Nothobranchius furzeri: one gene and its partner. The protein of the gene in region 1 purifies or fractionates together with the protein of each later gene. This does not show direct contact. Links are inferred from orthologs where the notes say so. Each region holds a gene or a part of one and is shown on either strand. Other genes may lie near its edges.

Region 1 (3,648 bases):
GGCACTGGACCCCTAAATTAGCTATACTTATATAGGGTTAGTTTCTCATGATTTCACGTGGTTTTTGGACTTCTGTTCTGTTTTCAGGCAGACTGGGAACACCGCCCCAGCTGTCTCACCGCTACAGCTAATAATCACTGCTTCAGTTGACACACCACATTACTTAATGATCAGATTTTTCATCACCAAACTATTGCTTTAGTCATTCACTCTGATCATTAAATGATATTGTGTTACCAGGAGTTATAATAGGTTTATTGTGGCTGGCTATCAGGGGATAATGTCTTCCCTCAGCTAACAGATGATGAAAACAACCCTGGTACTTTCATTCAGTCACTCCACGTGTCTCTAATTCATCAAAACTATAATTTCCTGCTTTGATTGGAAAAGGTATGTGTTGCATATTTTAGGTGTCTCTACTGCAGCCTCTAATAAACTAAACCCAGGCCTCGGGTCTGGGTTGTCATATTCGTCCTGTGCCGTCCTCCCTCCAAACACCAGTTATCACGTTTACTGCTGGAGCTCAGTGGGGCTGCTGGTCCATTTCCAGGACAACCCAACCATCCTGCTTGGTTTCTTTTCTTCCTCTATCGCTCTCAGCAGGGGCAGGCTGAAGAAAACTGTAATGAAACACTGACATCTAGTGGAAAATAGACCACTGCAAATGTTTGTTGAGAATCCAGCAACGACGCTCTGAAAAATGATAAAACGTTTGATTTACGACTTCCTTTAATATGTGTATTGAAGATTGTTTCTTCAAATAGTCTGTTAAACGTTAAAATGTCTGGATGGGTATTTTCCTTAGTTTTACCCCTAAGGAAATTTTAAAATTGTTGTCGTTATTATTAATGCCTCTCATCTCCACCAGTGTATGAATGTGTGTGTGAATGGATGAGTGATACACTGTAGTGTAAAGCGCTTTGGAGTCCTTACTCTGAGAGGTGCTATATAAGTGCAGGTCATTTTTCATTTATTATTATTATTATTATTATTATTATTATTATTATTATTATTATTATTATTATTATTTTATTGTTGTTGTTGTTTTATGACACTATATCCTAACGTGGGAGTCTCTAAACGTTTATTATATTGTAATTTTTATTGTGTTTAATTGTGAAGTAATGGATCTGAGAAAGATAATAAAAGTATTCTCTACTTTTAAACTAAATACGTTTTAAAAACAAAGTCACGCCCCCCAGGCTCATACGCACTGCTCCTCTACGTGACCCGGAAGTAGTTTCCTTCACCTTTATAAGGTCTACTTCCGTTTTTTGCCTTTCTCTTTCCCTGCCGCAGCCATGTCTAAGAGAGGTAGGTTTATCATCATATGAAATCCACCTTCATCTGCTGTTTTAGTTTTACCCAGAGTTCCTAATGATGCTCGTTTAGGACAGATTGATAATAAACCACACGTTTCTGTGGCTCGTTCGGAGTTTTTCTCACGCTTTAATGATCCGGAGATGATAGCATTGTTGCATTTCAGTTCTCGGAGCCATGTTTGCTTCAGGGCCGTGAAGGCGAGCTGGACTGCATTAGAGCTGCAGGTTGGAAATAGACGTTTGTGTCAAACTACGCGGCTGTTTATCGACAAGTAGAGAAAACAGGAGCTAGTTAACTACCGTAGACTAGCTAATAGCTAGCCGGTGTGAACTCGAGGTGGACGGAAGAGGAAGTGCTAGCTAAAGCTGGGCTACAGCCGAGGCTGTGTGGAGTTTCAAGCACCGGTGGAGCCTTGGACTGATTAGGGTCCTCTCGTTGCAGGACGTGGTGGTTCGTCTGGAGCGAAGTTTCGCATCTCACTGGGTCTCCCAGTGGGAGCAGTCATCAACTGTGCAGATAACACAGGTACGTCTTACCTGCCCTGTATAAAAGCTGGATTCAAGGCGCACCTCATGCCTGTTGGGTCACCTAACATCCAGCCTGGACTGGAGGAAGGGGCCTTCAGTCCCACACACACACCTACTTGTATTCTCAAAATTACACTAACACTTATTTTATTCAAGTGTGAAAGTGAAAACGGGCAAATATGTTATAAATTACTTGAGCTATTTAATGAACTGTGTAGTTGAGCGGGAGGGTCTGGGCATTTAGTTCCAGTAATCCTGTTTTCATGCTTGTTTTCCTTCTGACTCACAGGTGCTAAGAACCTGTACATAATCTCTGTGAAGGGCATCAAGGGTCGTCTGAACCGTCTCCCCGCTGCAGGAGTGGGGGACATGGTCATGGCCACAGTCAAAAAAGGCAAACCAGAGCTCAGGAAGAAGGGTGAGTGGTAACAGCTGCATTGGGTTTGATCTGTCCCCCGTTACACACAAAACGAGTGTGGTGCATGTAAGGGGGGTACTTCTCTTGGGAATGGACACGGCTGGATCAAGTTGAGTTTCGTTCAAAGAAATGTTTATGTGCCAGTTGTCCGTAAGTGCGACTACAGAGAAGCGATTAGTCTGCTTTTGGGGCACAGCTGCATGTTTCCACCTCGCAGTCACCTGTGATAACACCACTGCTCCTCTCCCAGTGCATCCTGCGGTGGTGATACGGCAGCGGAAGTCGTATCGGCGAAAAGATGGAGTGTTCCTCTACTTTGAAGACAACGCAGGTGTTATTGTGAACAACAAAGGAGAAATGAAAGGTGTGTTTTTAGTTTCAAGGCATTAGCTGCTGTTTCTGTGAGATGTAGACTGTCAGTGTCTTCGCACCACGGTAAATCTGTGTGTGGTTAAGAGTGCTGGTGGCGTGAAGCGCCCCCTTCCAAAAGCACTTGCTTGGTCTGCTCAGTGGCTGGGTGAGTTGTCGAGGAAGGGCAGAATGACTTCATCACTGTGGGTGAGACAGCAGAGACCTTCTGTGACTGACTGATCTCAATCAGGGATGAGACAAATGTTGCTCCACCAAACTCAAACCCATTTCTAGCCTTCTGCCTTTTCAGCCTGCTGCTTCATTTGGACCGCAGTAACGTCTCGTCTCTACCTGCAGGTTCAGCCATCACAGGCCCAGTGGCCAAGGAGTGTGCAGACCTGTGGCCCAGAATCGCTTCCAATGCCGGCAGCATAGCCTGAGACTGTGTTTACAATAAAAGCTGTTCATCAACCCAGTGGCCTGGCGACTTCATTTAACGTCACGTTGGGTGTGGCGCCCTGTGATGTGGATGTGGTGGTGCCGTAAGCATAATCGTACTGGAGACAAGGCTGGAGGAACCAACCGCAGCCTGCTTTAGTGTAGAGCAGGGCCATTACCAGGGGTGTCCAATCCTGGTCCTGGAGGGCCGGTATCCTGCATGTTTTAGTTTGAACTGTTTCAACACACCTGATTTTAATCAGCAGCTAATTAATAGGCTTCTGCAGAGCCTGATGAGCTGCTGCACAGGTGTTTCAACCACTGAATCAAGCCTGTTGGAGCAGAAAAACCACAAAACCTGCTGGATACCGGCCCTCCAGGACCAGGATTGGACACCCCTCCTCTAATCCAACACTAAATCCAGTGGTTGAATCACCTGCTGCTGGGGTCAGCTGTGTTGCAGCAGGGTTAAAACCAAAAGGTGCTGGATACCGGCCCTCTAGGCCCAGAATTTAATAGCCCAGTTGTAGAGCGATAACCTGGATGAGGTGTTGACATGCCTTCAAGTACCGCTCACACACAGGTAGCTGA
Region 2 (3,379 bases), on another chromosome or scaffold:
TGAGTGTTTCAATAATCCAGATTTCTGTCAAGTTTACAAAAGGTGCTACATGACAGGTGTCACAAGTACCATGACTAATGAATTAAGCAAACACACACACACCATCTATAAATGCACATGGTGACTGCTTTGCTGCAGAGGCCAGCATGCCTGCACAACTCTGCTTTTAAAATGCAGTTTTGAGTTAATATTTTTCGACAAAAATAAAGTGAACACTAAAAACGTAATCATTTTACCTCAAGAAAAAAGAACCACTGCTTAATTATATTGTCTTTACATTGCATAACTGGTTTAAGGGGTTTCTAGGAAATTCAAGTGCAAACATGCCTTGAAGTTAGAACATAGTGTCCTTTCTTTTTAACAAATACACAGAAAAAAGTATTTATGTACAGCAGCTCTTTGGCTCCTTCAGCCCTAGTATTAGGAGTTAACAGGGCTTTTGTGGTTTTAGATATTACAAGACTGAACACACACGTTTATGATTGCATAATGCCATCTGGATGTCTCATCTTTACCACTCTTAGGAGAGAGAATAACCTTTACCAAGAATCCTTAGAAATGATTAAATTTAAAAACTTAAATGTTTTTGAGTACTTACTGTTTTAAAATTCTAAAATAAATCCAGGACCAAAAGAATGTGTGTAAACCTTTTACATTTTTATTGCTTTTTATACAAAGAGAAGGAAGATTAATCAAAGAGCCCAAAGCCCATATCTTCGTCTGACTCTTCTGATTCTTCTTTTTTCTCTTCCTTTTTCTCTTCCGCTGCAAAGCAAATTAAAGTCAAATGTTAATGTTGGAAAAAAGTTAAAGATATTACTACAGGCATAATTACGTACCAGCAGCAGGGGCAGCCCCAGCTCCAGCGGCCCCACCAGCAGCAGCGGCAGGTGCCACTACAGCACCACCTGCTGGTACAGAGGCTAACTTGGAGAGGCCTGTGACCAAAAGAAAAACTCATGAAACTGCAGGACACTGAACTTAGCATTTTCAGTTTTAAGAGCCACTAACCTGAATTCATGACGTCATTGATGTCCTTTCCATTCAGCTCACTGATGACCTGTTGAGAAAATAACATTTAACCACATGGAAAATACATAGTTTCAACAGTAAACCACCAACAACATACTTTATTCAAGCGTTCGTCATCGGCCTCAATCCCCACGCTACCTAGGATGTTCTTGATGTCCTTTGCAGAGGGGCTGGTGTTTCCACCCAGTGAAGCGAGGAGGTAAGCGGCCACGTAACGCATTCTGACACAAAAAATAATCAGGTTTATTTCAAAGAAAATGAATGAAAGCAACATTAGAACTTCCTAAATTCCCTAAATTGTATTTATTTTGTAGTTAAGAATCAACCACTATCAGAGATTTAAATTTTTTTTTATATTAACTGGCCTAGTTTCCAATAACAAACCTACTCAAATTGATTTCATCATAATCCTGTCATTTCATAATGCTTTGTTAAAATGATTGCAGACATTAACCTACATTTGCTGCAAATTCTTCCCAGCCCTTAATAGTAAAATGTTTCACTGCCTCCCCTATTTGCGTTGTTTAACCCCTGAATGATATGATATAAAATATAGTTTAGTCTGATTAATGTAGAAAGTGACCAACTAAATCAATTGCTAGCTGCTAACAGGCCCTCTAAAACTGGTGCTAGCAAATGACAATATTTTCGAATTCACTTTAGATTCAGTTTAAATTATTACAATACAACAGTCAGTTTCTCTGTTGAAGCAAATAAGCACAGAGCGACGGGACTTCATACTTAAGGCACCGAGTGGTTAGCATTTAGCAAGCAGATGCTAGCAAACATCAGCTTTAGTTTAGTGTAAAATGGTACACGACTTTCATAAATGCATACATGAAGACGTTTGACTTAAAGGGCTGCTTGAAAACTGTTGCCAATACATTGCAGCAAAGAGCACATTTTGGTTCTGAGCGTGTATCTACGTTATTAGTGTTTAATGGCTAAACGAAGCAGCATGGCGACCGACAGTTTTACCATTTCTGGCTACGCTGCAACAAACGAGGAAACATTGGAAACACATTTAACTGAACAACTGAGGGAGATAAACGTCTAAAACGCGATGTGACTGAAAAGAACAAACAATATAATTCATAACTCTCAATTTTGGACTTACTTTTAAGTCTAAATAGACACGAAACGTCGGTCACGCTACGAAATCCGGAAGAGAAGGAGAGGCGGAACCGGAAGTTGAAAGAAGTTCAGTGCGTTAATTTAATTGGTTGTAATAAAACAATGGTGTCCAATCATGTTCCTCCAAGGCCAATCTCAGGTTGTGTGGAGATATGATTTCTTTATTCTTTATTTAACCAGGAAGACCCCATTGAGGTTAAAAGCCTAATTTTCAAGGAAGTCCTGGCCAACAGGCAGCAAAAGTTACAGTTACAAATTTTTCAGCGACACATATATGTTATGTACAAAATTACAGAAGGCAGTTACAACACAGGGGATCCATCTCAAGGGCTCTCAGTCTGGTTTAAAATGTGTTCAACGAAGTAAACTCCGTTAATTTCCAGTTTTCCTGCAGCCTGTGCCATGCAGAAGGAGAAGAGTGAACGAAAGCCTTTACACAGTTCGGCGAGAAAACAAAACCCAGAGTAACGATTGATTGCACGCAGACTGTGAAAAGTTACACTTCTCCATGAGATTAAGTTACAGACTTAATTCGGAAGTAAGCTAAGCATGGCCTTATAAATGAAAGTATACCAATGTCCCAACCTCCTGGTGGACAAAGAAGGCCATCCCACTCGGGATGCTAATATGACCCACAATGATGGGTTGTGGTCTAAGTTAGTAATAAACCTCAGCGAGGCATGATAAACCACATCAATCTTACAAAAACACTGTGCTGAGGCATTCATATACAAAAGGTCTTCACTATCCAGATTAGACAGAAATATTGCAGTAACTAGTTTTTTTTGTTAGTTTTTTTTTTTGCCAAAACAAAAAAACTATATATCTATATATCTATAACTAAATATATAATCTTATTATTTTTTATTATATATATATTTAACACTGTTTTGAAAAAGAAACCCAGTGTGAGTTTGAGTTTCTTCACAAGATTGTCTATATGGAGCTTGAAGAGGGAGTGATCGTGCCAGACTCCATGTATATGTGTGGACCACCTCTATGATATTTCCCTAAAGAGTGGTCACTGAGGGCATACTTAGGTATTTTTAGAGTTTTAAAACAACATTAGCTTAGTCTTGTCAGCACTGAGGACCAATTTTAACTGCAGAAGGGTTTGTTGGACCACATTAAAAGCTTTCTGTAGTAATTCAAGTGGGGGATGTTCCAAAACAGTAAATGATTGTGTCATCAGCGCAAAAGTGCATATTAGGGT

The links. Proteins that work in one complex are often made in the same cells at the same time.
Region 2: the proteins of rpl23 (region 1) and rplp2 fractionate together in Homo sapiens (co-fractionation; 4 studies listed by BioGRID). This does not show direct contact. The link is inferred for Nothobranchius furzeri from reciprocal best matches to the Homo sapiens genes RPL23 and RPLP2.

What each region holds. Positions count from the first base shown.
Region 1 is NC_091758.1:12,992,828-12,996,475, forward strand, and holds rpl23 (large ribosomal subunit protein uL14), read left to right. Parts: upstream 1-1,197; 5' UTR 1,198-1,301; coding exon 1,302-1,314; intron 1,315-1,764; coding exon 1,765-1,848; intron 1,849-2,139; coding exon 2,140-2,268; intron 2,269-2,518; coding exon 2,519-2,632; intron 2,633-2,976; coding exon 2,977-3,059; 3' UTR 3,060-3,090; downstream 3,091-3,648.
Region 2 is NC_091743.1:70,041,205-70,044,583, forward strand, and holds rplp2 (60S acidic ribosomal protein P2), read right to left. Parts: upstream 2,268-3,379; 5' UTR 2,150-2,267; intron 1,254-2,149; 5' UTR 1,253-1,253; coding exon 1,130-1,252; intron 1,061-1,129; coding exon 1,012-1,060; intron 939-1,011; coding exon 840-938; intron 766-839; coding exon 689-765; 3' UTR 637-688; downstream 1-636. UniProt on the Homo sapiens protein: Plays an important role in the elongation step of protein synthesis.